4 linked regions of the Kluyveromyces lactis genome follow. The protein of the gene in region 1 purifies or fractionates together with the protein of each later gene. This does not show direct contact. Links are inferred from orthologs where the notes say so. Each region holds a gene or a part of one and is shown in the gene's direction. Other genes may lie near its edges. The genes, in order: TSR1, DIM1, HRR25 and ENP1.

Evidence for each region.
Region 2: the proteins of TSR1 (region 1) and DIM1 purify together in Saccharomyces cerevisiae (affinity purification with mass spectrometry; 8 studies listed by BioGRID, with this or other methods). This does not show direct contact. The link is inferred for Kluyveromyces lactis from reciprocal best matches to the Saccharomyces cerevisiae genes TSR1 and DIM1.
Region 3: the proteins of TSR1 (region 1) and HRR25 purify together in Saccharomyces cerevisiae (affinity purification with mass spectrometry; 5 studies listed by BioGRID). This does not show direct contact. The link is inferred for Kluyveromyces lactis from reciprocal best matches to the Saccharomyces cerevisiae genes TSR1 and HRR25.
Region 4: the proteins of TSR1 (region 1) and ENP1 purify together in Saccharomyces cerevisiae (affinity purification with mass spectrometry; 16 studies listed by BioGRID, with this or other methods). This does not show direct contact. The link is inferred for Kluyveromyces lactis from reciprocal best matches to the Saccharomyces cerevisiae genes TSR1 and ENP1.

Annotation. Positions count from the first base shown.
Region 1 is NC_006041.1:451,006-456,604, forward strand, and holds TSR1 (small subunit rRNA maturation protein TSR1), read left to right. Parts: upstream 1-1,730; coding exon 1,731-4,094; downstream 4,095-5,599. Other genes in the region: KLLA0_E05127g (40S ribosomal protein uS14), read right to left, coding at 427-597; REH1 (Reh1p), read left to right, coding at 4,394-5,599.
Region 2 is NC_006040.1:54,477-62,585, reverse strand, and holds DIM1 (putative dimethyladenosine transferase), read left to right. Parts: upstream 1-3,729; coding exon 3,730-4,692; downstream 4,693-8,109. Other genes in the region: PLC1 (phosphatidylinositol phospholipase C), read left to right, coding at 1-2,396; ACM1 (Acm1p), read left to right, coding at 2,742-3,431; KLLA0_D00572g (uncharacterized protein), read left to right, coding at 4,882-5,301; KLLA0_D00550g (nucleobase cation symporter-1 family protein), read left to right, coding at 5,759-7,498; KLLA0_D00528g (uncharacterized protein), read right to left, coding at 8,060-8,109. UniProt on the Saccharomyces cerevisiae protein: Specifically dimethylates two adjacent adenosines in the loop of a conserved hairpin near the 3'-end of 18S rRNA in the 40S particle.
Region 3 is NC_006040.1:261,208-269,876, forward strand, and holds HRR25 (serine/threonine protein kinase HRR25), read left to right. Parts: upstream 1-4,553; coding exon 4,554-6,071; downstream 6,072-8,669. Other genes in the region: KLLA0_D03058g (RNA helicase), read left to right, coding at 1-431; NPY1 (NAD(+) diphosphatase), read right to left, coding at 2,609-3,763; cAMP-dependent protein kinase catalytic subunit TPK2, read left to right, coding at 6,726-7,844; MNP1 (mitochondrial 54S ribosomal protein bL12m), read right to left, coding at 8,080-8,592. UniProt on the Saccharomyces cerevisiae protein: Protein kinase which phosphorylates serine and threonine residues. Can use casein as a substrate. Phosphorylates elongator complex member ELP1/IKI3 on 'Ser-1198' and 'Ser-1202' which promotes the tRNA modification function of the complex.
Region 4 is NC_006042.1:634,232-642,776, forward strand, and holds ENP1 (snoRNA-binding rRNA-processing protein ENP1), read left to right. Parts: upstream 1-4,379; coding exon 4,380-5,816; downstream 5,817-8,545. Other genes in the region: 3-deoxy-7-phosphoheptulonate synthase ARO4, read left to right, coding at 1-30; HIS7 (imidazoleglycerol-phosphate synthase), read left to right, coding at 489-2,147; SRM1 (Ran guanyl-nucleotide exchange factor), read right to left, coding at 2,270-3,712; SNAP receptor USE1, read right to left, coding at 6,030-6,812; ribosome biogenesis GTPase LSG1, read right to left, coding at 7,700-8,545. UniProt on the Saccharomyces cerevisiae protein: Required for normal export of the pre-40S particles from the nucleus to the cytoplasm.

The DNA of each region.
Region 1 (5,599 bases):
GCCAACTGTGGCATTGTTTCCGGTAAAATTTTTGATTCAGCCTCTTAAACAATAAAAGACTTCAGAAACCATTCAACTTATAGCTAACATACTAAGTCCTAAAAGTAATCCGTGTCTTTTATATACACTAATTGTTCTACAAAATTTTCAAACTATCGAAGACCGGGTAAGAAGAAATTTCGATTCGAAGATGCTTGCTTAGGGCTGATGAGATGTGTCTATGTTCGTTCTACTATGGTCAAGGAGCCATCAGATAGCCGCATAACTGCGAGAAGTTTTCTGGGGAACGCTACAAACCAAAGAAACAAACGGTTTATGTACAAAGGTTATAGGACAACTTGAATAGATATAATATTCTTTATTCCTTTAAATTACAAACAATAAAAACGGGAAATATGTAACCCATTGATTGAAATCGGGAAAGGTTTAACGGTACTTGTAGAAACCAATGTCGTTAGCCTTTTCTCTGAAAGATTGACGATCGATGTTCAAACCGTACTTTCTGATCAAACCAGAGTGGGAACCGGAAATACGACATTGACGAGAACCCTTACCGAACTTTCTTGGGTGGGAGTACCAAACGTTTTCGTGAGCCATTTTCTGTTAAGAAGATAAATTGCAATTTGTTAGTAAAAATATTTCCAATATAGTAAAAAGTAAATATCAAGTAAAAATGGGTTTTGAATAAAACCCGTCAACTGATATTTTATCGTGAGCGACTGCTTTTAATATTGCGGACGTTTGGGATCCAGTAAATCTCCCCCATATGTAAACTAAATCATTTCAAAAATCAAGTAATTTTCCATTTCTTGTCCATTCACTTTGAATCAGGGAGATTGAAATTGATCTTGATCGTTCCTATAATTGTTGTAAACAAAATGTAGTATGATTCTTCTGACAGTACTTGTCTTTCCTATGCATTCTTTTGCCATTACATCTTTCTTGGAACTTGTCTCTAAACATGTGTAGGTATTCTTGATCACTATTCTTCCAATACTATAATATTTTAATGCCTATTCATTATAGGGATCACGCCTCCATTGTTATTATTATTGAATATTCTTTCTCATCATTATCCAGCATGCATAGTCCTGCTCCTTCCCATAGATGTCCATTTTAATCCCTAAACGTTTCATAGTTCGCACAGCGCTCATAAGATCTTATTGTGCTCCACATACGATTTGAATCTCTTGTTTGTGTATGCTTTCTTTAGCTCTTAAATGAGTATTAATTGCCTATATCATTTGGTACAGTTAATCAATCTTAAGTTTGTTAATATTGAAGAACCTGAGTTTGGTGAAACTTGCTCTAACCTGGCAAATTCCATCACCAAGACGGATAGTAACAAAAATGTTTTACCATATAAGGAATTTTCTTACCACGAATGAAAATCTATCTTCAACAGAAAAGAAACAGAAAAGAATAAAAAAGATGCACGGATGTATTGCCTCCAAAACAGTCACAGGCTTCACATTTCTTTTTTTTTTGTTGTCTGTCTTCTTTGTTGACGATTTTCTTCGTAACAAGTTGTACATTGAAAATTTTAATAGTGAAGCTCATCTCATCTAAGCTCATCACAAAATGCTGAACAGGTTAAATTGGATTATTTTCCTTGTTTTTATCGCAACTAGTCAACAACCATATTAGAAAGTAACATAAGGAAGAACAGTAAAAAGCTGTTTGTTTGATCTTCAAATTTTTACGAGACCTTTGCAATTTTTCTGTTCGAAATGGCTGGTCATTCGCATAGATCATCGGTGAAAAACGGTCACAAACCATTCAAGTCCAAGCATGCCTCTAAAGGTTCTTTGAAGAACGCGTTCAAAGGAAAAGTTGAGAAAGAAGCCAAGAATGGTAAGTCAAATAAATCTGTTTCTAAATTAGAGAGGAAAAACCTTTCTAAACAATTGAGACACCAGAAAATACTAGATACTCTAGAGACTAAGAAATTATTCGAGGGAAACAATGGTGCGAAGAAGATTATCACTGTCATTCCATTAACAGCAGATGTATATGCAGATGATATCGTTAAGAAATTGATACTATCCGCCGAAAATGACGGCAAAACAGAATCTGACTTAGAATTCGATTTGAAGATGCCGAGTGTCACTAATTTCAGAATCAATAAGTTTAAAACTACTCTTCAAGTGATTATTCCAGATATGTCCAATTTCATCAACATTTTAGACTGTGCTAAAGTGGCAGATTTCGTCGTTTTTGGGTTAAGTGGTACATCTGAGGTGGATGGTGAATTCGGTGAACAAATTATTAGATCTCTAGAATTCCAAGGTATTTCCTCCTACCTCGGTGTAGTCTCGAATCTTTCACAAGTACATCCAAAGGAAAAGTTCCAACTAGATGTTAAGAAATCATTAGAGAGTTACTTTACACATTTCTTCCCTAACGAAAAATCTGTTTATAACTTGGAGAAACCATCCGAAGCTATCAATGCCATCAGAACATTATGTCAAAAGTATCCTCGTACTGTCAAGTGGAGAGATGCTAGGGGATACTTACTCGCCGACAACATAGATTTCATAGAAAGCTCTGAAAACAGAGGACATCTAGTGGTACAAGGTATAGTGCGTGGGGCAGGCTTTAACATTGATAGACTCATTCACATACCAGGAATGGGGGATTTCCAAGTCTCCAAAATAGAGAAATTGGCAGCCTCAGCGAGAAGAAATAAGTCTACAGAAGAAGGCACGGAATTTTTGCCATCAGAAGAACGTGATATCTTGGAAGAATACGCAGCTCAAGATATGAATATGGACGAATGGTCAGATTACGAGGATGGTTTCGAATATGAGAACTTAACTGCTGCTAGGTATGATGATCATGGGTTCTTACCAGGCAGAGAACAAGAATCGAAAAAGGTGAAGCTTCCCAAGGGGACCTCTGAATATCAAGCAAGATGGTATTTAGATGACGTCATTGAAATAGGCGACGAGGAGGAACTTGAAGAGATTCAAGATGAGAACGTGCCAATACAAGAGGATGAAATGATGGTAGACGATGTAGATACATTCAATACCGAGCAAGCTCAATCAGAAATGGACACTCAAACTGAAGCTGGTGGAGAAGATATGTTTGTTGATCTATCTCCAGAGGAAGAAGAAAGACAACTCAGAGAATATCGAGATCAAGAAAAGGAAGATCTCGAATTTCCTGACGAAATTGAACTTGACCCACGGGAATCTGCTATTGAGTCGCTTAAAAGCTACAGGGGGTTGAAGAATTTGCACAACTGTAGTTGGGAAGTTGACGAGAGAGACCCCGACTGTCCAAGCGAATGGAAACGTGTGCTAAGGATTGGAAATTACAAGAACACTATGAAAAAGTTGAACAAGGAAGCAATTAAGTCCGCCCAAGTAGTTGCTGGTGATATAATAAAGTTGTACATTGATATTCCTAAGTTTTTGTTAGAAAAGCTAGCCGATCCAAAGACTGAGGTTTTCGCTGTTTACAGCTTGTTGAAACACGAACATAAAAATGCTGTAGTAAATTTCTCGATAGAGAGATGGGAAGAGTATGATAGCCCTGTTCCTTCTTCTGAACCAATCATCGTACAGTACGGTATTAGAAGATACACCATAGAACCATTGTTCTCTTCTGCATCCACTAGTCCAAATAACGTGCATAAGTTTGAAAGATTCTTACACCAAAACTATGTTTCAGTAGCAACTTGCATTGCTCCTGTAGATTTTACACAATCACCAGCAATTTTCTTCAAAACATCTGTTACAGACCCTAAGGGTATAGAATTGGTGGGACACGGAAGTTTCTTGAACGCTGATCACACCCGTATCATGGCAAAGAGAATTGTTTTGACTGGTCATCCTTTCAAATTCCACAAGAAACTTGTCACGATCCGTTACATGTTCTTCAGACCAGAAGATGTCGAATGGTTCAAGTCGATCCCACTATTCACGAAATCAGGAAGATCAGGTTTCATCAAAGAGAGTTTGGGTACGCATGGCTACTTCAAAGCTACTTTCGATGGGAGACTCTCGGCTCAAGACACTGTTGCTATGTCACTATATAAGCGTGTTTGGCCAAATGCTTCACTACCATGGTCAGATAAACTCCTGTAGTTCATGTATATACATATGGTGTTGATTGAGTAGGAAAACATATAGGCTTAAATTGGCACTTAGTACATATTATATTCAGTAATTTGTTTGATGTTCGGTTCCATCTCGAGATTTGTAACTCTTCCGGATTTTCGTACAGTTTTGTTCAAGCAATATAAAAATAAAAATAATAATTCTATGCACATTAGAATGCATATTTAGTATTTGACACTCAATTTGTAAGCTCTTGAAAGCAAGCCAAGTGCAATAAAGTAGGTTTTGAATCCTAACATAGAAGCACCGAAGAAATATACTATCAGATGAGCGATATTGTTATGTTTACATGCAACTCATGCATGATCCAGTTCCAATCAAGTGGTTTGCAACGTCATCATATGAAGACAGAATGGCATAGGTACAATTTGAAAAGAAGAGTAGCCCAACTAGCTCCAATCAGTGCCAGTTTATTTGCTGAGAAGTTGCAAATGTCAAATCGTGAACAGGAACTAAATCAAGTTGATGAGTTTGGCTTCCCAGTATTAAAACCTATTAACCACTCCCGCGGATTCCAGAGAAAGGGAAGAAAATTAGGAAGGAGTAGATTAGAGGGTCTTCAACACTCTGGCCAAGATTTGAGATCCTTGTCACCAGCATCGTCTATTACATCACATGCATCTAGAGCCACTTTCAGAAGTACTGATCTTGAAGAAGAGGCCTTTTCAGATCATGGCTTCACTACCGAGGATTCTTATTCACATTATTCAAACACCGATCATGAATCATCTGATGAATCAGAGATTGGAAATGACCACGAAAGGATTAGTTCTACGGAGTGTATCTACTGTGGGAAAAACTCGAAACAAGTTGAAGCAAATGTTAGACATATGTTTAATAAGCACGGACTATACCTACCTGAACGCTCATACTTGACCGATTTGACCGGTTTACTTAAGTATTTGACCGACATCATTATCGTCAACAAGAACTGTCTTTGCTGCAAATACCAAGGATCATCAGTTGAAAGTATAAGGGCACATATGTCATCTAAACACCATTGCATGCTACCGTATGAAACAAAGGCAGAAAGAGCAGCTATATCGCAGTTTTATGACTTTTCTTCACTAGATGAAGCAGCAGTTTCTGATAGTTCAGCCAAACATGGCACGTCTTCATCCGTATCGCCAGTAACGTTTGCAAATAGTGAATCCATTATTCAGACGGCAGAATTACATTCTAGTGAAGACGGGGCTGATGAAGCGGAGGCTGACATCAATTCCAATTATGCGCTGGTTCATATCGATGATTCTGGAGTGGAATTACAATTAGGAAACGGAATCAAAGTAGGCCACAGGAGCATGCAAAGATATTACAGGCAGAATGTTCCTCTAGGTTCGACTTCTCCTGATGACAGAAGAACGGTTGTAGCAGCTGATAGAAGAGTAACTTCGACCGTACAATCCAGACAAATGAAGAAGGCCGAGAAAGAGATTAAACAACTCGAGAAGCAGCACTCTAACAAGCATGTA
Region 2 (8,109 bases), on another chromosome or scaffold:
GTGGTGATATGGCTACCAATTATATGGATATGTACAATGTTCCTTGTCCTTCACGGGACCTTTGGTGTACTATCATCTATTCAGTGAACAAAAACAGATTAAAGGCTTTACATGTTATTGCGGAGGACGCTGCAGTATTCAAATCTTTTTATGAAACGACAGTAAATTTGGTGAATTCTAGGAGGAAACTAATGGAAGATATTGCAGTTCCAAACAATGAACAATTCGCCAATATTCATTGGCAGACCAGTGTTTCCACAAAGAAAGAAGACCAGGACAAAGATACGTTAAGTTTCGCGGATGTGAAGAGACTTTGCAACCGATATCATATCTACTGTTCTGATAACTACCTTTACGCACTTTTCATTAAAGCGGACACTAACAATAACAGTTTGCTTAATTTCCCCGAATTCCAAGATTTTGTCAAGTACTTAAAAGCTAGGCCGGAGATTGAAATAATCTGGAATCAAATGAAAAATAAGGATACTAAGGTGGTTGACTTTCAAAGCTTTTACCAGTTCATATGTGACGTTCAAGGTGAAGTAATATCACAGACTAATGCTTATAAGATTTTCAAAAAGTATTGCACCGCTGATGAACTTTTAGATGTTGAGGGTTTATTAAAATTCTTAACAAAACAACCGTTCCTACAATTATTCGAAGAAGATTATTCTAGACCGCTAAACGAATATTTCATATCATCATCTCATAACACTTATCTTATGGGGAAGCAAGTGGTGGACGAGGTAAGTGTCGAAGCTTATACTCGTGCTTTGCAACAAGGATGCCGTTGTATCGAAATAGACATATGGCAAGGAGATCATGGGCCTGTGGTATGCCATGGTCTTTTCACACAGTCAATCCCCTTAGAAGATGTTGTTAAAACGATACGAAAATATGCGTTTATCACTTCACCTTATCCGCTTATTGTATCTCTAGAGATCCACTGTAAGAAGGATTACCAATTAATGATAACGAAAATTATGAAGGAAATTTTGGGAGATCTTATATTCGTAATTCCACCAAACACTTCACTATTATCACCAGAGCAGCTGAAAAATCGCATTATATTGAAAAGTAAGAAGACGCATGCTGTAGAGTCTGAAATTATAAGTGGATCAACTTCATCCTATACGTCTTCTTCCTCTCATGAATCACTTTCTGAAACAAATGACATGCGGTTAATCAAGAAGCGGGGCTTACAAAAAAGTACTACCAGTAGCACTTCTCCAAATACGACAACAGTTCCAGTGACAACAAAGAGAAACAACAAATCGTTATTGTTATCAACAAAGATCATGATATCAGACAAGGTTCATGAAATATCTGGGATTCACGGAGTAAGATTCAGAAACTTTTCGTTGCCTGAATCAAAAACCACTACGCATTGCTTCTCACTAAGTGAGAAGAAGTTTATCAATCTTGACAAAGATGAAACTCAAAAACTCGCTATCAACAAGCATAACCGCAGACATTTAATGAGAATCTATCCGCACATGTTGCGGTACAAATCCTCCAATTTCAACCCAATACGATTTTGGAAAGAAGGAGTACAAATGGTCGCAACAAACTGGCAGACGTATGACCTGGGACAACAATTGAACCATGCAATGTTCCAAGTTTCACTAGATAGAAATTCCATCTGGCATTCTGGGTATGTTTTGAAGCCCGCTCACTTGCGAAAAGAGATACATAAAATGAAGGACATTCCAGTAATTATGGAAAGGCTCAAACGGGAGAAGATTCATATCCATTTGGACGTAATTTCTGGCCAGATGTTATCCTTACAAAACTGCAAGATACTAGCACCATTCGTAGAAATCGAACTCATTACTGACAATACCATGGAATCACTTCACCTTACCAACTGCTTGCAGCCAATGGGGTATACTTCCAATAACTCTACCCATGCTACCGGAATTACTAGCATGAGTAATGCTTCAAATGGTACTTTTGCTAACATTACTAGTACCTCAACCAAGCGCGTTGATAGCAACGGCAGCAGCGGTAAGACTGAACCACTTTGTGAAAGTAATGGAACCACTGTTATTTCAGGTTTGTCCGCGGAAGACGGAATACTCAGTACTCCATCTGCTCCTCCAGCAGTATCTGTACCTGTCCTTAGTTCACCGCAACTATTTTCGACAAAATGCTTCCGTGATAACGGCTTCAGTCCCGTGTGGAATGCGTCGTTCGAGTGTACACTTACAAACACTACGTTCAACTTCGTGCGGTTTACAGTCAAGAACTCCACGCAAACTATCGCAACAACGTGTGTACGGTTGAATTATTTGAAGCAAGGGTATAGGCACTTACCGTTGTACAACATAAAAGGGGAGAAGTTCATATTCTCCACTCTATTCATACGCTACAAAGAGGAACTTCTAAAATGGTGATTGGCGCCCAACATACACAACTTACATAAACTCATTAAGCAGCGCTAATTAAACGATAATTCCAGTATATAACATTCAATACTAATGAACTATTGTTTAATCAGTTCCATTCACTCGATAATAGAAAACTTTCCAAGGCCGTTCTCTATTTTATAGCTTCACGTCTTATTTCGCATCGAGGATTTCGCGTTTCCTATACTTAGCGGAAATTTGGCGGGTCTCAAAACTTAAGAAAAAGTGTCATCAGGTATTTTATAAAAGAACAATAGGATCAAAATCTTTACTTTACTTATCTTAAGGTGTCTGACCAGGAACACTTTACATAGAGCCTGCCACCCAACCAAGATGATACAACACAGATCTCCACTGAAGAAGAGAGCCGTTCTGACGTCAAAGAACGTAAACATAATAAGCACTGGGAACTCGATAACAAAACCAACCGGTAGTACATCAAGCCATGGTTCACCCAGAAGAATCAAGACTAAACTCGACGTGGAGCGGGCTCTACAGAAGAGTCCAGTGAAACAAGTTTTCTCTATCAAAAGGGGGTCACCCAAGAAGAAGGGTGACGACGATCCTTCATCATTCGCCTTTTATGAAGAATCGGAAGAAGATCGGGCAGTGGCCTTAATGAGACACGTCTCATTGAGAAGGAAAGCTGTACACGACGAGAACGAGCAAGAACTAGAGAATATAGATGAGAATAAACTTGCGAAAGTACGAGCACAGGCCACTCAAAACAGAGGCTCTAACGGAACAGCCATATCGCCACTGCAAGACTTGGACATCGAGTTGTTTCCTGGTACAATCCAATATAGAGGTTTTAGTCAAGAACACCATCTTAATTTACACTTGAACCATACCCGTAAGCTACCAGAGTACATCACTCCGCCAAGAAACGCCAAATTAAAGGATTTCTTTGTTCATGAAACACATGTTAACGACAAGGATCAAGTCTTTTCGAAGACCACAGATGATATTAATGCTAACAAAGTGGTGAGGAAACTTCAATTCTGCATCGATGAGAACAGATGACAAGATTATGTAACTCCAAGAACGTAAATATATATCAACTTGACATGGAATGGCATGGATCCTATTGAAGGTTTGTTTTTTCCTTTGAAAAGAACCTTTTCTTTTTCAGGCTGGTTGAAAAATTTTGAGAGCTCATCGCATCGAATACATAAATGACCAGAGAACACGACTCTCAGCGGAGATATTTAACGGGTCGTATTGGGTTAATTACACTATTTTATAGCGTCTATAATTGATCGCATAACATTGGTAAGAAGCTAAGCAGTTGTGTATCTTGGCAATTATATCCACTGAAACGATGGGCAAGGCAGTTAAAAAGAAGTACAGTGGAGCAAGTTCTGGAGGTAAAGAAGTGGATGCTGAGAAGCATTTGACTACGGTGTTCAAGTTTAACACTGATTTAGGGCAACATATCCTAAAGAATCCGTTAGTTGCTCAAGGTATCGTGGACAAGGCTCAAATAAAGCCATCGGATATTGTGCTTGAAATTGGTCCTGGTACCGGTAATCTAACAGTGAGGATCTTGGAACAAGCAAGGAAAGTTGTTGCCGTGGAGTTCGATCCTCGTATGGCAGCGGAGCTGACGAAACGTGTACATGGAACGCCAGTGGAGAAGAAACTTGAGATCTTGTTAGGGGATTTTATGAAGACCGAATTGCCTTATTTCGATGTTTGTATAAGTAATACCCCATATCAGATTTCATCTCCCTTGGTGTTCAAGTTAATAAACCAACCAAAACCACCTCGGGTATCTATTCTCATGTTTCAAAGAGAATTTGCCATGAGATTGTTGGCCAGACCGGGGGATTCTTTGTACTGTAGGCTTTCGGCAAACGTCCAAATGTGGGCAAATGTGACACATATAATGAAAGTTGGAAAAAACAACTTCAGGCCGCCACCTAAGGTCGAATCAAGTGTAGTTAGGATCGAGATCAAGAACCCTAGACCTCAAGTTGACTTTAATGAATGGGACGGTTTGTTACGGATAGTGTTTGTAAGGAAAAACAGAACCATTGCAGCAGGATTCAAATCCACTACTGTCCTTGAGATATTGGAAAAGAATTACAAGGCCTTCCTAGCAACGCAGTCTGCAGTACCTACAACCTCTTCTGGAGATTCTCTAATCAATGAAGTCAAGGAAAAGATTGAGCAAGTACTGAGCGAGACCGGATTAGCTGAGAAGAGAGCTGGTAAATGCGACCAAACGGATTTTTTGAAGTTATTGTATGGATTCCACCAAGTAGGAATTCACTTTGCTTAAAGAAATTGAAACAGCTGCTCGCGTCAGCACTAATAGAAAACTATATGTACACTATATAACCCATTAATTTCATCTGAGATAGTTGTCCTTTCTATTTCACTAATTACCTTCCTCCTAGGCTCTTTCTAGCACGACAACTTCTGCAAGTATTAAAGATGCCTCAAAGATGCAGCCAGTAAGTTTTGTTAAATGCACTTAAATGTCAGAACCCTTTCGCCTTACTCAATAGGTAGTCAATTTCTCGGAAATGCGTCTCGAAAAATGCATCTCGCAACTAACCACCACTTTCATATTTCGGCATTCTGCGGAGACATGATGGTGCAAAGGCTGCTGATCTTGAAAACCAAACCCCGTAAAAATCTAAAGGCAAGCTCGAAAATCAATCTGAAAACAATAATAAACTCACACTGGTCTGATGTGGGCAAAAATAAAGTACATGACACGGGCCAAATTTGGTTACTACATTCTACTCTATTAAAAAAAAATGATTCAATTATCGTAGATTGGGTAAATAAAACTAAGAAACCAAATCCAGCTAACACGGCAAGCATGGCACGATTTACTCAGAACTTTAAAGAACCTACAGAGACGGGTGCTTGTTTCTGTTAACGGCCGTAGAGGGTCCGTTTCTTTTGGGTGAAAATTTTTTTTCTTTATTCCTTCGAAAAATGTTTACCTTTGAATAAAGGCAGCCTTGCCTACAAACTGTGGGTCTCCTAGTGGTTCTGTATATGTCTCGAGTTTTGTACCATGCAGCCGTTAATACTTCTGAAATTGAACGGGGGCACAGACTAAAAGTAGTCATTTGTTTGTTGTTTTGGTGGACAATATATTTCTATGTTTGTTTTTGCCTAATCTTTGTATCAAATCTTAGTATATCTTTTTCAATTCGGTTCATCTCATCTCAGTAATAGACTGTTCTTTTTCATAAATACTAGACGATACATAAACTAAGGTTTGTGCGTTTTTCGCATCGTATTCGTTCGTACTTAACTTGGCTGCTCCATAGGCATTGTTTTAACTAGTGCAATAAACACCAGGATTTAAAGATTGTTGAAAGTTTGTAATGGCTGGGGTTCTTGGGAAGTTGCACAACCTTTTGGTGTTGGATGAATCCGACAGAACTAGTAATAAGGATTTAGTTCCTATGCCTGTTTCAAGAAGAAAATGGGGTATATATGGTTTTACATCATACTGGACATTGCTTTGTTTGTGTATTAGTACGTGGTCTGGTGGGTCAGCGTTGTTGTTGTACGATGTGGGCACTGATGGTGAATTGACGCTTTCGGGTATGAATGGTCGCCAAACCATTGGATGTATTGTTTTGGCAAATTTCTTCATCAGTATTGCAGCCATCATCAACTCAGTGTATGGCTCAGAGTACCATATTGGGTACTCTGTGTTCCAGCGTATCATCTTTGGAATGCGTGGGTCATCCTTTGGTGTTCTTATCAGAGCTATCTTATCCGTGGTGTGGTTTGCTTCCCAAGCTTGGTTAGGAGGGCTTTGTGTGAATGTGATCATTTCCTCGTGGAGTGAAACATATTTGAATTTGCCCAATACCTTCCCAGAATCAGTACCTATGACGAGACAGGAGTTGATTGGGTTTGTGATTTTTTTGGTAATCAATACTCCGGTGCTTATGATTAGACCAGAATACTTCGACCATATCTTGGCCCTTGGGTCTTTCTGTATGTTCTTTGTCGGGTTGGGAATCACCATCTGGGCAGTGACTATTAATGGTGGTTCCAATGGACCATTGTTAACTGCAAAGGTTACAGCCTCTTCTTCTGACCTTGCTTGGTCTTGGATCACAAACTTGAATGCTTGGTATTCATTCATTATCGCTGGTATTTCAAACCAATCCGATTTCTCTCGTTTCAACAAAAGGCCCAGATCTGCTTACATCGGTATCCTAATCGGTGTCAACGTAATGGGTATCGTGCTTCCTTTGATGGGTATTGTTACTGCTTCTGCTTTATTAGAAAAATACGGCGAGTCTTTTTGGATGCCTAATGATATCTGCATGTATTGGATGCAGCTAAATTATACTCCGAAGTCCAGAGCTGCTGCCTTCTTTGCAGGTCTCGGTTTACTAATTTCTCAGCTTGGTGTCAACTGTATCAGTAATGCAATCTCTGGTGGCATGGATTTGGCTTCTATCTTCCCACGTTACATTAACATCAGAAGAGGTTCAATATTGATCATGTTGTTGGCTTGGCCTACTCAACCATGGTTATTCTATAATGCTACTTCCACTTTCCTCACAGTTATGTCTTCGTTCACTGTTTTCATCACACCATTAACTGCAATGTTTGTTTGTGACTATTTTGTCATTAGAAAGGGCGTTATCAAGTTATCCGACTGTTACGATGATTCTCCTTCCTCAATTTACTGGTTTCAGTACGGTATTAACTGGAAGAACATCCTTTGTTTCTTATGTGGTGCGGCCCCGGGTTTGCCTGGTTTGATCAATGCGGCTAACCCAAACATTCCTATCAATACAGGTATTGAACACTTCTTCCAAGGTTCGTTCATTTTCCAATTCGCCGTTACCTTCGCCCTTTACTATATCATTAACACTATTTTCAAGCCTACAGTTGGTGAAACTGACCAAATCGATTATTATCACACATTTACTGAGCGTGAGCTTCAAGAGAAGAATATGATCGCTGATGATCAAGAAGACATTGGCGTGCATTCCATCGACTCTTCGAATTATTTGGCAGATCCTACTGAAGTATCACTACGTAATTTGAAGATTAACTCACCTGAGAAATCTGACTCTACTGACGTTGTTTTATAAATCTAGCGCTTCTTAATTTAATATTTTGGCCATAAGGACCAGGCAAACAGGCCATTATCCAATCGATGATTGTCGTTTATTTAAACTAGTTTTATCAAAACAGATATAATACCTTTATTCTTACTGTCATCAAACATTCCTATTTTTACCAGGTTTTTGACAATACTCAGGAGAATCATACAATGATAATGATATAGCTTATTAAGTGATATATTGCTATATATAAATGAAATATATGAATATCACCAATGGTTAACTACTGATGAAAAGTCACAAAACAAATGCTAATTCTGTTTGAGCACGTCTGCTCAATTGTGAATTAGGGTGTATAACCTCAAGGTAAGTTCACGGTGGATATCATTAAAAGAATAATCGTAGAAATAAAGAAAATATTGACAACAGCAAGAACAGCAACAAGAACATTAATAATAATAATAATAATAATAATAATAACGATAATAATGATAACAAAAAAAATAGTCGAGATGATGATGACAGTGGAAGTATAGCAACAATTGTTATAGTATTAGGGACACTTCTAGCAATGAGGTCTGACAAAGTTTAACTATACTCCTCAGCAATCGGAACTGGTTCGATGTACTTGCCAATCG
Region 3 (8,669 bases), on another chromosome or scaffold:
TGTTTTCAGCAAGTAATTCTGTACCGGCAGAAGCACAAAGCATTGAATCAATTGATGACATTTCGTCCAAGAAGAAGAGCAAATCCAAAAATTCTTTAAAGGCTCCATTCGTGGTATATAATGGCAAAAGAGATACAGGAAAGTTGTATCTCACTGGTATAACTCCTACTTCTGCAATTGCTGTCTTACTTTTCGGTGGGTCTTTATCATACAATCTTAACAGTTCTCTTAACTCACCAAATGTTGTTGTAGATAATTGGTCTCCGATTCGTATCTGGTGCAAAAATGGTGTTCTAATCAAAGAATTAAGGTCACTTGTAGATGAAGTCATTAAAGAAAAACTTGAGAACCCACATTACGTCAAGGCGGACTATTCTACCAAGGGCGATGACGTTCTCAAAATTGTGGAGCAGATTGTCAAGTCGAAATAGAAGGAACACTCACTTGACAGCTAAAGTCCAGATAACTCATATTTAACATTAACATTTATAGACTGTAAATAGTAAAACAAAAGTCTTGTGCTTGAAGCGCATGCGAATCATCAGCAGAGAAAGGCTTAATATTAGGCTTTGTTAAACATGAGTATTAAATCTGGATTTGAAAAAAAAAGTAAAAAGTAATGAAGGATGCGAGGTTCGAACTCGCGCGGACAATTGTCCAACAGATCTTAAGTCTGCCGCCTTAGACCACTCGGCCAACCCTCCAATCTTTATGAAAAAGTAAATTTTTTCCATTTATACTGCATAGAAATTTAAGCACAGCTTAGAAGCGTCAATTCGTTTATATTAGAATTAAAACCATAAACACCAAAAACAAAATCGTGAACGTAGAATAATGTTGCTTTCACGAGTGGATATCTAGAACATTCCACCATCAAAAGTCGGTGACTTTGTGGATTCTTTTTGGCTCAAAATGCAGAGGCTTTTAACAGTGAAGAAATGCCTTAGAATCTTAAAATTGTCATTTGAACTCAGCTCAGCTCATCAACATTATTGAACACAGCAGTGAATTGAATCTGGTTTTCTCAGCCTCTGACCGAGTTTCTTTTTTTATTTTTTTGTATCGGCTGCATTACTTCAGTATAATAAACCATATAACAGTTTAGGTAATATAAATCAAATACCATGGCATATTTGGCAACATCATCGTCAGTGGGAACCAAATGACTATATTAGCTGAGTTGCTACATAAATATTCAGTTGAATTTCAATACAGCTGTACTTTTCAAGGTGCTCCTTTTTTTTGCCATAGTATATAAGAGAGTATGAGTGACAGATTTTAGAGTATAGGTTCCAATTGCATACGAGTTCCTCGTATGCAATTGAGATTGAAATAAAACTAAAAAAGTCTCTGAAGCTTTTTATGTCAGCTTGAGTAGTCAATTAACAACGAGTTGGGAACAATTGAGTTCTTTGAAAGTCACAATTGAACTTGGCGGACTACTGTCCCAGATATCTTACAATAAATAACCGTCAGCAACAATCAAAATGAATACGCTATCAGAATATTTTGGAACTAGTCATAATGCATGACCGAGTAATACCGATATAATAGGCGGATAGTGATATCGGCATTTTCAGTCACGTGTTGTTATTTCAAGATCTTTGGTATCTGATGAATCCATAGTGTTTATTAGCTATATATCTAGTAGTGAATGTTGATGCACCTGGCGATCTGGCATGACTGTGTTGATGGTCCTTGTTCAGATCTAATGCCTCCTTATATAATAATTCAGATTGGTTAATGATGTTTCAACTAGAAACAATCCTTATGTATCATCTTGATACTTAACCGCCTATTACATTGGTAGTTACCCGATCATAGTTTATGATCCGTTTCAACACGTCTGGCTTGTCTTAAGTCTATCTTACGACATTCTGAAATATATTGGAGGGTTGGCCGAGTGGTCTAAGGCGGCAGACTTAAGATCTGTTGGACGATTGTCCGCGCGAGTTCGAACCTCGCATCCTTCATTACTTTTTGTCAATTAATCAGGAAAGAAGTAGTGCAGTGATTTCAATCAGAATCCCATTGAAAGCAGATTCCGCCGCTAGATGTTACGAGTACCGTTATTTTTGATACCCTTGTCTAGCCATTAATATTATGTTTTTCTTTTCGCACGATGTTGTTCTAGTTTTGATCGAATGTAATACTAATAAAAAAGTGTTGTCAGAAGAATATCAATAAGTGATGGTTTCCAGCTACCGTCATATTCAATAACTATTTTACTTTGTTTACCTAAAGTGAAAAAGAGCTTGTACCATTTATATACATTAAGACCATTTTACCAAAAAGTAATGAAGGATGCGAGGTTCGAACTCGCGCGGACAATCGTCCAACAGATCTTAAGTCTGCCGCCTTAGACCACTCGGCCAACCCTCCAGTTTTCTGAAAATCAAAAAAGTTTTAGACCACACATATCAGGCTCGCAGTGCATTGTGTATGTATATGTGACTTCAGAAATTGGCAAGCAACTCAACACAACAGAGGTAAACGCAGAGGAATTCAGAATGATATGACGAATTCACACTCTGATATAAATATGCTACATGCGGATAATATGAGGTTACTATGAAAATCAAAAGCGGAAATATGCGGCTTGTTACTATTACAAATGTCCGTTAAATCTTTTGTACTTGATTACAGCATGCTCTATCAATTGATGTGCGATAGCTGTATCACCAGGGAAAGTGATCCTGTCATCAAAATTTACCAATCCCTTTGGTGCTTTACCGTACCTTTCAAAGGCCTGAGACACAAGTTCCATCTCGAACCATTGGGCATCCAACAATTCTTTATCATGTTCTAAATTAATTATCTCATTGTCACCATTAAAATCGATCAAACCAAGGCAACCAATCATCAAGTTGCAGGGATACGGCCAAGGTTGCGTGAAAAGGATATCCACATCATTTAGTTCAACTTTAATACCAGTTTCTTCCCATATTTCACGCTGGCAAGCGTGCTCCACAGTTTCTGCAGGTTCCATGAAACCAGCGATGGTGGAATACATTACCGCGTTACCGTGCTTTCTTCTTGATCTTGCGAGACATATTTTTGAGAAACATCTGTCTACGATTGCAACAATGACCACTGGATCTGTTCTTGGGAAACACACATTTGAAACAGCTGCGTCCCTTACCGAGCATTTAACAGATTCGTCGTTATTTCCACATTGTAATTTGGTTCCACCATGGACAGGAAATACTTTCGATGCACATCCGGGACAAAACAAAAACTTTCTCAGCCAATCTAAGTACATGTTTGCATGAGAGAAGAGCGAAGCAACTTCATTGCTTAGGTTGAATGCTTGCATCCTCCCAAGTGGTTCGTATTGATCTAGTATGAACTTTGTCTCCGACTTTTGAACTAGAGTATCGGACGCTGGCCGCAAATCCATGGCAAACAATGGGGTACCGGTGTACTCCTTGTAAGAAAAACTGCTGTCACCATCCATCAACCCTAAAAACGTTATTGTGAACCCGGATTCAACTAACCATCCTCTCTCGGTATCCATGACAGATCTTATCTTGTTTAGTAAGCCTGGCCATTCCGAGTAGTTAGGACAACCTTGATGTCCTAACATTAATAAATTGGTACCAGACTTGTCACTAGTCTCAGTTGCGAATGCTGCCCCATTGATAAACGGTACAAACTGAGTACTTCCATGTTCGAACGCTTGCTTGATGAAAACCTCGTCGTCCCTTAGGAATGACACTCTATTGATAGTTTCCAATCCGAAAAAGGTTACACTTCTTTCCATATGTACTGCGCTATCAGGCTAACCACACTATACGGGTACTAAATTGATCGAACTCCAAGTACAACAACCTCTCCAGCGATCAAAACGACAATGCGACTAGGTTGTGCACTGAATATACACGTATAAATCCAACTGTTCCCGGTCATTATGTGGATGTGACTGCAAACCATGCTTTGGAAATTACCCTACCATATATCACGTGATCATAAGTTTCTACTATCCCCTTCGTAGAAAAAAGAAACACTATTATTTTTTGTACCAAAAATTGAAATTGAAATCAACTTAACCACAATTAATCACCATGTTTGATATTTCATTGGTGGAGTTAGAGCATTAGACGGAGAATTTAGTGGGCCATTTGGTGTCATAACACAGGTTAACTGATACGGAAACTCAGATATCAAAGTATAGTTTCAAAACGTCCATCTTTCCCCAACTATATACTTAGGAATTTGACCTTTTTTTTGGTCTCTGTTTTGGTTTATTTTTTTTTTTTTTTCATTTCAGAACTTCAGGTTTAGTTGCAGAATTTCCCTCTCAATTTTGTGAAGTTGAGAAGCAATAAAGCAACAAGCAACTGACATATCTCACTGTACGTTTGTTTCCAGTTGAGTTTGATTATAGGATAAAAATATCTTACTTGATATTTCTGGTATTTGAGCTTGTACATGAGAACGTGGATATAAAGACTTATTTTGAGGTTCTGCGGTATATATACTTTCATTTGATTAGAAATATTGAAGGTAAGACGTGAACAGGAGAAGACAGACATAAGGAACGAAAAAGAAAGATGGATTTAAGAGTTGGTAGAAAGTTCAGGATTGGGCGGAAGATTGGCTCTGGTTCCTTTGGGGACATTTATCATGGGACTAATTTGATTAGTGGTGAAGAAGTCGCTATTAAGTTGGAGCCGATTCGTACGAAGCATCCTCAATTAGACTATGAGTCTCGAGTTTATAAGTATTTGAGCGGCGGTATTGGAATACCATTCATCAGATGGTTTGGGAAGGAAGGTGAATACAATGCTATGGTGATCGATCTTTTGGGTCCGTCTTTGGAAGATTTATTTAACTATTGTCATAGGAAATTTTCTTTTAAGACCGTAATCATGCTTGCTCTGCAGATGATCTGTCGAATCCAATACATTCATGGCAGATCTTTCATTCATAGAGATATTAAACCGGACAATTTCTTGATGGGTGTCGGAAGACGTGGATCCACCGTGCATGTTATTGATTTTGGTTTATCCAAGAAGTATAGAGATTTTAGAAGTCATAACCATATCCCATACCGAGAAAATAAGAACCTTACTGGTACTGCACGTTATGCCAGTGTCAATACGCATCTTGGGATCGAACAAAGTAGACGTGACGATTTGGAGAGTTTGGGTTACGTGTTGATATATTTCTGCAAAGGGTCCTTACCATGGCAGGGGCTCAGAGCCACGACAAAAAGACAAAAATACGACCGTATCATGGAAAAGAAATTGTGCATCACCGTCGAACAACTATGTCAAGGTTTACCTATGGAATTTGTTGAATACATGAGATATTGTAGGAACCTCAGATTCGATGAAAGACCAGATTATATGTATTTGGCTCGTTTGTTCAAGGATTTGTTCATCAAGTTGGAATACCATAATGATCATTTGTTTGATTGGACCATGTTGCGTTACACAAAAGCCATGATCGACAAACAAGGAGGCGCCCAAGCATTGGAACAAAAAGATGAAAATGGTAATAAACAGGATTCATTTGATAAAGTGAAACAATTGGCTATGAAGAAATTTTCAACACATTTCCACTATTGGAAACCAGATGATACTTCTCATCCAACTGCTGAAGACATAAAACAACAGACTATCCTAAACACCCAAGTTATCTCCACGATCCCAGATGAAGTCATGAATGCTATCGACAGAAACATGGAACAGTTGAAGCACGAAGTGAACCAACAGGTGGCGTCTCAACCACAACAAGGACAACCACAAGGACAAACTCAGGGACAAGGACAAACTCAGGGACAAGGACAACCACAATCAGGTCAGCAACTAGATACACAGTTACCTCAACCTACCACGTTACTACAACAGCAAAGGGCACAAGTTCAAGGTCAACAAGAACAGATGTTACAACAGCAACAACAACAACAACAACAACAGCAGCAACAACAGCAGCAACAACAGCTTCTGCAACAGCAACTGCAAACACAACAACAAACGCATCCAAATGCAATGGCTATCACCAACCCACTACCAAACCCTAATAACACCACCAAAACTACCACTACCAATAATATCTGGCTTTAAACGCAAAAGACGAAAACAATGCGCAAACAGTTGCAAAATCTGTAGAGTAGAAAAAATCACACACGCTCATACATATATACAACTCATCATCAGTTAATCATGGGCTTCTAACCCACATTGGTTATAAATTATAACTCGGAAATCTGTTACCTAATTCACACTTATATTTCTTTCTTATATGTACTTGAATAGTGGAACATGGGGGAGAACACACACAGGGATTTTCTCACCAACATGAGCAACCATGAAAGTAAGCTGGTTACTGAATCGGCAGCTGACACAGGTTTACGGTACTCGCAGTTCACAGCTCATTGTTGCTGCTGCTGAAGTTTCCCTCCTCATCCTTGGCAAGGCCATTATCGCAATATACGAATTCCACTACTAAATATCGAAAAAGGGTTTCTGTTCCTCACATGAACAGTGAATTGTGAAAAACTAGACCAAAGGAAAACTAACAACAAAAGGAGAGTCAACTGTGGTGAGAAAAAGAGAGCAATCTAGGGCGCATTGAGTCTTGAAAAAGTGCAATATCCATATAAGACTATCAGTCCAAAGCTATAATTAAGGCAAAAACTGGTTTGTCCCATTTTGTACTGTTTATTCATTAGAGTAAACTAGGGGATTTTGACCCCAAGGGAAAAGGAAAACAAGAGGATGGAATATCAGCCTGTGAATTTACAACAGATGAATACTGCTCCAGCTCCTGCAACCAATCCTGTGAATCCGGCGGATGTGACCGTGGGTTCACAATCTACCGATTATTTATTGGCTCAGCAGAAGGAATCGTTGTTGCCTCAAAGGTCTACTGTGTCTAAGGGGAAATATACGTTGCATGATTTTCAAATCATGCGTACATTGGGAACAGGGTCATTCGGTAGAGTGCATCTCGTGAGGAGTGTGCACAATGGACGTTACTATGCCATCAAAGTTTTGAAAAAACATCAAATCATTCGAATGAAGCAAATTGAGCATACGAATGATGAAAGACGGATGTTAAAGCTGGTTGAACATCCTTTCTTAATTCGGATGTGGGGTACGTTCCAGGATTCTCGTAATCTATTCATGGTTATGGATTATATCGAAGGTGGTGAATTGTTCTCGTTGCTCAGAAAATCCCAACGATTCCCCAACCCTGTGGCTAAGTTTTATGCAGCAGAGGTGACTTTAGCTTTGGAATACTTACATTCTCATAACATAATATACCGTGACTTGAAGCCAGAAAACATTCTATTGGATAGGAATGGGCATATCAAGATAACGGATTTTGGGTTCGCCAAAGAGGTAATCACAGTGACGTGGACGTTATGTGGTACCCCTGATTACATTGCTCCTGAAGTAATTACAACGAAACCATATAACAAGTCTGTTGACTGGTGGTCTCTTGGAATCTTAATCTTCGAAATGCTCGCTGGTTATACTCCATTTTATGATGTTACGCCAATGAAGACCTATGAGAAAATCTTAGCTGGTGAAGTCGTTTATCCACCATTTTTCCACCCTGATGTTGTGGATCTATTAGGTAAGTTGATCACTGCAGATTTGACCCGTAGATTAGGTAACTTACAAAGCGGGCCAGATGATATCAAATCGCATCCATGGTTTGCGGAAGTTATATGGGAAAAGCTTGTGGCAAAGGACATCGAGACGCCGTACGAGCCACCAATCGCTGTCGGTGTCGGTGATTCCTCTTTGTTCGACCAATATCCGGAAGAGCAACTGGACTATGGCGTTCAGGGCGAAGATCCATACGGCCAATACTTTTTAGATTTCTAACGAAATCTTCAAAGAAAAACATAACTCATAATCGATTCATTTTTGAACGGATCGTTCGTGAAACTACCTCTTCTTTTTACTTTGTTATGTCGGTCGGATTGCGTTTATATATATATATCTTAATCTTAAGAGTTTATATTAATATATTTTTGGTTATTATTATGTACAGGAAAATGAGAAGAGAACTCGTTTTGACATGGGGAATTTACATGCGTGAGGTGTTCGACGTATCTGTCTATTCCAAGACAATCTTGGCACCTAGCCCTTCCAATGCAGCCTTAACCTTGTCAGCGTCTTCCTTAGCGACGTTTTCCTTCAAAACCTTTGGAGCACTTTCCACAAACTTCTTAGCTTCAACCAATGACAAACCTAACAAGTTCTTAACTTCTTTGATGATCTTAGGCTTAGACTTGGCATCAAACGATTCTAACTTGATGGAGAAAATAGTCTTCTCTTCAACGACTTCTTCTTCCTTGGCTTCTTCAGCTGGAGCAGCTGGGGCAGCTGAACCAGCACCAGCTGCTGGGAACGAAATATCTGGGATGTTCAATTGAGTCTTCAATTCTTGAATCAAAGCAGAAGTTTCCAATAAAGTCAATTTGGAGATATCTTGAACGATTTGAGAAATCTTTGGATCAACCGCAGCAGCTGGAGTAGATGTACCAGCAGTCGATTGATAACGAACCAAACCTAATCTACAACTGTTCCTTGCAAAAACGCCGGATGATCTTACCACTTGACGCAACATTTTTTCTTTTATATTATTCCCAAACCCACCTGTGATAAAAACTGCTGTTCTCGGTTAGATTCAAGATGGAGAACTAA
Region 4 (8,545 bases), on another chromosome or scaffold:
AGAGAACTAAAAAAGAAGAACACTGAATAAACTTCATATCAATAATCATAAAAGAAAACATATGAATACCTGAGTACCCATTTGAAACACGTTTTTATTTAAATAATCTTTTCGTTCAATTGCTGAATTTAACGATTTGTATATAATAGTCTAATTACAACACGGAAAGACATGAATAGATAAAAAAAATCATGGGCTCGTTTTAATAAAACTCTAGCAAGAACATTATAAGTTAACAGCAGAATGGGTTGGTGGATTGTCAATGACTGATTTCAACAACTCATTTTAACTTGAACCCTGTCAATGACTCACTCTCTGATTCTCTTCTGAAGTTTCGAAAAGGTTTAATTTTTTTTTAAAATAATAGAAAATACAGAACTAACGAATCTAATCTTATGAAATACAAGTGTATCGATGAGGATATATCGTCAGCAAGAGATTTCAAAGGATAAACAGCAAACGACTGGTAGCGACTACAGTAAATCACAATGACAGTCGTGCATATTATTGATGTGGAATCTGGTAATTTGCAATCCTTGCAGAATGCTATCAATCATTTAGGTTACGAGACAAGATTAATCAAGTCTGCTTCAGATCCAGAGTTACAAACTGCTGAAAGAATCATCCTGCCAGGTGTCGGTAATTTTGGCCATTTTGTCGATAACTTAACTTCTCGTGGGTTTGAGCAACCTATCAAAGATTATATTGCATCCGGAAGGCCGTTGATGGGTATTTGTGTTGGCTTGCAAGCGCTTTTCGATGGATCTTCTGAATCTCCTTCAAGCAGAGGGTTAGGTTTAATCCCAGGTACTTTGTCCAAATTTGATATCAGTGAAGGTAAAAGTGTTCCCGAAATTGGATGGAATACCATTATTCCACAGGACGATCTTTCATTTGGTTTAGATCCTTATAAAAGGTACTACTTCGTTCATTCTTTTGCTATGATCGTCGATGATGTACAACTTGATGACTTGCATAGTAAGGGATGGAAAGTTGCTTTGACAAGATACGGTAACGAAAGATTTGTTGCCGCCATTCACAAGGATAATGTGTTTTCTACACAATTCCATCCGGAGAAATCTGGTAAGGCCGGTCTAGAAATTATAGATAACTTTTTGAAAGGTATTCACCCAGTTACAGAGTACACAGATGAACAAAAATCTCTTTTAGGGAATGACTATACAAACTTTGGTTTGACAAGAAGAATAATTGCTTGTCTCGATGTCCGTACGAATGATCAAGGTGATCTAGTGGTAACCAAAGGGGACCAATACGATGTCCGTGAAAAAACAGAAGGAGGCAACGTTAGAAACTTGGGAAAACCTGTAGAGCTCGCACAACGTTACTATGAACAAGGTGCTGATGAAGTTACTTTCTTAAATATCACCAGTTTCAGAAACTGTCCATTAAAGGATACTCCAATGTTGGATGTGCTAAGACTTGCTGCCAAGACTGTGTTTGTACCACTGACAGTCGGAGGTGGTATCAAAGATGTCGTGGATGTTGACGGCACAAAAGTACCGGCTTTAGATGTGGCCGGCATGTATTTCAGATCTGGTGCTGATAAGGTTTCTATTGGTACAGATGCAGTGTTTGCTGCAGAAAAGTACTATGCTAACGGAGAAAAGGGTGATGGAAAATCTCCAATTGAAACGATTTCTAAAGCTTATGGTGCACAAGCGGTGGTTATTTCTGTGGACCCTAAAAGAGTTTATGTTAACAATAGGAACGAAACCCCTAATAAATGTTTCCAAACTTTATCGCCTAATCCTGAGGGGCAAAATTGGTGCTGGTATCAATGTACAATCAAGGGTGGTAGAGAATCCAGAGACCTAGGAGCCTGGGAATTGGCTCATGCATGTGAAGCCCTTGGTGCTGGTGAGATTCTCCTAAACTGTATTGATAAAGACGGCTCAAACTCAGGATACGATTTGGAATTAATCGATCATATTAAAAGTGCCGTTTCAATTCCTGTTATTGCCTCATCAGGTGCAGGGAATCCAGGTCACTTTGAACAAGGATTTACAAAGACAAAGGCTGATGCTTGTTTAGGTGCAGGTATGTTCCATAGAGGAGAATACACTGTTAACCAGGTCAAGGATTACCTGATCTCTAAAGGTTTAAAAGTCAGAATTGATAACGAGTAACCTTATCGATTAATATCGACTCATTTAGGTTGTTACCTAGTGCGTAATCTTTTTAATTAATTTTGTAAATATATAGATACACAAATACTGTCTAATGAAAGTACAGATAACTTTTATTAATTTTAATCATCCATTTCATCAGCTCTTTTTTCTGCTTCTTCGTCAGATAATTTAACACCACCAGAAATAGAAAACTGACCACCGCAGCCAATGAAGACAATGCTGTGATCTTGAGTGGCCGTGTTTTTGATTCTTGTAGGTGTTTCAATATCATCTCCAGAAGGACCTAAACCAACTGCATAAGTTTCACCGAATCCCCAGGAATACACTATACCATTTTTGGCAATAGCGAGGGAGTGATGAGAGCCTGCAGCGATGGCCTTAAATGAAGGAACGTCTTCTAATTTTGTTGGAAGAGGAATAGAACGGGCCTTGCCATGAACATCTTTATAAGTGTACTCAGGTAGTTTATCCTTTGAAATACCGACTTCAAACATATCTAATCTACCACAAGAATATAAATCACCAGATTTCGCCAATATTAGAGTGTGATGTTCTCCAGCAGAAACAGAATCGATTTCAACTCCTTCTGGCAAAATGACCTCAGTAGGAACACTTACCAAGGACCCATCTTCTAATTCTGTAGATATACCACATTGCCCGAATTGATTAAGACCCCACGAGTACAGTTTACCGTCCGTGGAAAGGGCAAATGAATGATTTTCACCCGATGAAATATACTTTATGTTATCCAACCCAAATGGTCTTGGATCTAAAGTTCTCAAACGAGAACGTTCCAAAATTCTTCTACCTAATTGTTGCTGTTGACCATTACCCCAGGCGTAAACAATACCAGTTTCATCCAAGAACAATATATGATCTTTCCCAGCAGCCATTTGAACAATCTTGGCTTTCTTGGAGAAGTTAGGGATTATCCAAGGGGTTTTCTGGACGGTAATCTCATCTCTGTAGAAACCTAAAATACCTTCGTTACAACGGAAGGTACCCCAAGCGTAAACGTCACCATTTTCAAATAGAGCAGCAGATAGATTGTCTGTGGCAGCAATCTGTACACATCTTAATTCGTCCAATGGTAAAGAGTCTCTAGGAATTTTAGTTGGAGTGGATTCAATTTCGTTGAGGTCACCATCTTCATCATCATCACTATCATTTGCATCCATATCTTTCAATTTTTCTACAGCTCCGCTAGTGTCTCTACCCAAAGCACCTGAGTCGTTAGTCCCCCACGACCAGATGTTATTGTCAGCGTCTAGCGCTAGGGTGTGCATTCCACCTGCAGCAAAAGACACAATTTTAGCCTCATCACGGGGCAAAAGGGGATTGAGTCTAGGTCTCTTAACTTCTTTGTTTTTAGCTAGAGGACCCAAGCCTAGTTCACACATTGATCCAGTTCCCCATACAAAAATGTCAAGTGGAACAACAGATCTATACAAATGTTTATAATCATCTTGAGAATTGATGCTAACAAACTTATGATTCAAAGTAGAGTGTAAATGCTTCCTTTTAACTGGAGTGTTCGCTACACTAGAAGATCTTTTAGACATGATTTCTTCAGTAACTGGTGGTCAATTAAAAGATTAATTGGAAGGGCCTAGTCTAATGTTAATTGTAACTTTGCTAAGATTGCAAGGAACGAAAAAAACGGAAATGAACACTTGGTTTTTGATCAATCGATAAGTACAACTCAAGGGAGAAGCTTGAGTGAACAAGAGACCAGCAATGTGTCACCACGCATATGAGATCACATTACACTTGATCCATTGTTAATTATATATACGTAAAACGAATCTAAGCTGCAGTTGAAAAATCTTTCCAGATTTTAAAGTCACGTGCAAAACAAACAACATTCTTTGCCTGTAATCATTAGAAGAACATAGCTCTTGGCTGTTTACAGTAGCTTGAATTTGTGTTCAACGCTGTGGCATATCTGTTTCAATCACGACGATCCCGCTGCCAATGCTCCAGAGTTATTTAATTGAACCTTTGACTTCTCTAAACAGAGTATCTCTAGCCTTTCTTTTTCTGTCCGTGCATTGACTGAAAATTTTTGGGATTTGAATAAGTAACGATGAGATGAGAAGCGATGAGATGAGATGAGATGAGATGAGATGAGGTAAATGGCAGATAACAATCACAAAATTACTCATTAGTGTCTGCTTTAGTGCTCAGAATACGACTAGTGATACAAGATTTATTTGTTCTACGGAGAAAATGGGTAAAGTAATGGGTGGCAGCGGTCGTAAACAGAGACACGATCCTTTATTGAACGATCTTGACTCTCAACATGGTAAGTTGAAAAGACAAGGTAAGAAAAAGATCGATGCTAAGGATCAAAAAGGCCATGAAGATGAAGAATTTGTCGATGCCCAGCAATCTAGAAAAATTTTGCAATTAGCTAGGGAACAGCAGGAAGAATTAGAGGAAGAGGACGAGCAGTCTCTGCAGACATCCAGCCAAGGAATAAACAGATTCTGTGTGGCCAACTATGCGGATGAAGATGATGTAGCTGAGGAAGAGGAAGCTCAAGGTAATAACATATCTGACTTTGAACCGGAAGATGAAGACGATTTCGAAGGATACGAGGAGGAAGAAGTGGTAGAAATTGACGAAGAAGATGCTGAAATGTTTGACCAATATTTCAAGACTTCTGCTGATTTCAACTCTGCCAATGGATCATATAACCTTGCCGATAAGATTATGGCTTCTATTAGAGAAAAAGAGATGGAACTACAGTATAATGAAGAAGAAGCAGGTGATGCCTCTGCAGTAGCGGAACCAGCTGCACCTGTAGATCGTACAGAAGGTGTCGCCTTACCACCCAAGGTGATTCAAGCATACCTTGCCGTTGGTACCATTATGCAGACCTGGAGACATGGTAAACTACCCAAACTATTCAAAGTTTTGCCTTCTCTAAATAACTGGCAAGATGTTCTCTATGTTACTAATCCAGAGGAATGGTCTCCGCATGCTATATACGAAGGTACTAAACTTTTTGTTTCTAACTTATCATCTAAAGAGGCCCAAAAATTCGTTATAGCTGTGTTGTTACCACGCTTCAGAGAAGAAATTGAATTTAACGAAGATCACAACTTAAATTACCATGTCTACCGTGCATTAAAGAAATCATTGTATAAACCGGCTGCCTTTTTCAAAGGGTTCTTATTCCCACTTGTGGAATCCGGTTGTAATGTTAGAGAAGCTACCATTGCTGCAAGTGTGTTATCCAAGGTCTCTGTGCCAGCTCTTCATTCTGCTGCAGCATTGTCCTACCTTTTAAGATTACCTTTTTCCCCAGCCACCACCGTTTTCATCAAAATTCTACTCGAGAAGAAGTATGCTTTGCCTTATCAAACTGTTGACGAATGTGTCTTCTACTTCATGAGATTCAGAGAAGTCACTGATGGAAGTACAGGCCAAGATGCCGTCAGAGTCTTACCTGTGGTATGGCATAAAGCTTTCTTAGCGTTTGCTCAACGTTATAAGAATGATATTACCCAAGATCAAAGAGATTTCCTACTTGAAACTGTTCGTCAAAGAGGTCACAAAGAAATTGGACCTGAAATCAGAAGAGAATTATTAGCCGGTGATAGTAGAGAATTTGTCAGTGATGTTGGTAATAAAGCTGATTTAATGTTTGATGTTCTGTAGTCAATAGTCCTATAACAATATAAGTGCCTGTCAATTTTAAACAAGTGTATAATATGCAATTATAGATAAGACAATCAATAGAATCAATCTATTCGATAAGTGGAAACGGTATCAATTAATTTCATCGAATATTCATGAGTCTATTTTGTACTTTGAAGCTTTTGAGTGAAGCAGAGCCTTTATCTAAATCTTGGAGATTTTAGCGGAAGACACTCATAAATCTGGAAATACTTTTATTACAAGATAGGTGACCAATAGACCAATTATAATAAACGATAAAAGTCCTAACTTCATTAAAAATCCAATTTTTTCATTGTGATACTTTTTCAATCTGGATCCGAGTGAAGAAAGGCTCTTAGAAGTAACATGCAATCCGATTTCTGCTGCCTTAAGAACAGTAGAGTCGTGTTCGATAGCATTCTGGAAAGCTTCCGCACCTTGTCTTAAGCCTGAAACTAGCTGGGACATGTCTTCAACCAGTTCCTTCTGAAGATCATCCTGAATTTGCATTTGTTTGTCAAATGATTCACCCTCCGTATCAGCGCTGTCCCTTCTTTTACCCATAAGCCTTTGGCGGAGCTCCTTCAAAGAATCGTTGTCATTAATTGCTTCAACATTGGATATTATATCAACATCGTCCTCATCTCCTATAGGCACGTCGGGCGTTGCATCGAAATCAACACTATATCGCCTTTTCTTTTGAGATTCCTGATATGCATCATATTTCTGTTGCAACTTAGAAGCTTTGGAGAAACTGATAGAGCTAACCGATTCCTCTAGTCTGCTAAAGTTTTTCTGGTATCTATCAATAGCATCAGAAGACGGATCATCCAAGTTATCCTTTATAGCCAGTTTTCTCACGGTATTTAAGTTTGTGGCCAGTTTTGTAGATATAAGATAATGGTAAAAAGGGTCTTCGTCATCTTGAAAGAGCGAAAGGTCCCTGTAATAATTTTTGCGTAGTTGATCACTTAATGTGTCTAAATCTGTCGTCATATTCCGTCAGTTAATGTCCTTTAACGAGGCGCTATCCCTTTTTATTTGTGATTGGAATTGTACTAAGTATTATTTTAAAGGCTATATTACATTTTGTTTTATGTCACTAAAATATTATCCCAAACCTCAATCAAAGAAATAACAGAGCTGTCTGAATGAAAGTCATTCACTCTGAAGCATGACCCTTGCCAACCCTTACAAAAGCGCATGTAAGAAAGAGTGGACCGAGTGCTACTTAATGTATCTACCGATGGTAAGTATAACATAAGGCTGAACTTGGTTAACTATTGCTAAATCTTATTGATATACAAATTCATACGACTCTCATAATATTTCAGAGGAAACTACTGAACCAATTAAATGGGTAATATTTCCGCCCACCTACTATCAAACTACAAACTGTAGGAATTCAGTTGTTGTTAGCGAAAAGGGCGTTAAATGGGAGTATCCCAGCTCTGGGCATCTTGAGCTTACTTCTACATGCGTGGAATAAGTCTGCGCCATGATAACCACAACGCGAACCATAATTGAACATGCCGAAATGTGTTTAAGAGCCCTTGTTTGCTGAGCTAGGAACCAAAAAGATAACCACAAATGACAAGAATACTTATCAACTGGACCATGTACTGAGGTCAAGTATAAAGTAAACCAACTTTAACCAAGTTTTGTATCCTTTTCTTTTGGTTCATCAAATTTTTCAGTAAACACCGGGTAATGCAGTGACAAGTTGCATGCTAACCATAGGTCTTATAACCGGAAGCAGGGCAGCTAAGGAAGATATAAAGGATATGCAGTTACATTTCCATAATGAATGGGGATAATAGACTGTGCAAACAGTGGATTTATATATATATAAGAGTTTAGGATGAATTTAGATAGTACTTACATTAATCGGAAAACATGGAAGCCTTTTTCTTACTCTTCTTGTTCTTCTTGTTATGCTTCTTACCATTTTCGTTGGCGACGGTTTGCTTATGGAAAGGGTTCGTAAGTCTGCCTTGAACACCGTTCAAATGGAAGAAATTTTTGTCAAGTTCATCAGCTACGTTGTACAAGGCTGCTTGTTTACCACCATGGTTGACAGATTTAGCTTGTACTTTATCACCATCACCACCAATATGAGCAGAGAACGTTAATCGACTTAAATCGCGAGCAAGATCCAAATCTTGTATACCTTTGTGTTTGGCAGCTTCTGCAAGTTGCTCTTGTCTGTTGATAGGTAATTTACTGAACGTGTATAAATCTTTGTTGAATTCCTTACATTCTTCTCTGGTATATGGCGTATCATCGTCCATGTGAGGCGGTGGATTAATGTACAGGAGTTTACCGTTCACATAATCTTTGAGAATGTAACGAGAGGCACGAGATTCATCTGCGGCACCAAAACCTTGTGTCATATAACCACGAGCTCTGGCATAAGCAACGAGTAATTCTTGTGCAGTTGGTACTTCACCATTCCCACCCTCTTCTACGGATTTGGTCTGAATATGGATACCGTAAATGGCTTCCAAAAAGTATTTAGGGACCCTTTCTGCCACTAATGTCGATGGCCCAATATAGTCACGTAACTGATCGATCGGTAGAACACCGTTACACACCAATTCACCTTTATTGTATGCAAAATTAGGGAAAACTAGACCTGGACAGTCGCATAACGTTACCTTATCAGATAACTTGATAGTTTGGAAATGTTTGGTCTTACCAGGGGTAGAAGAGACAGAAACTTTCTTGGC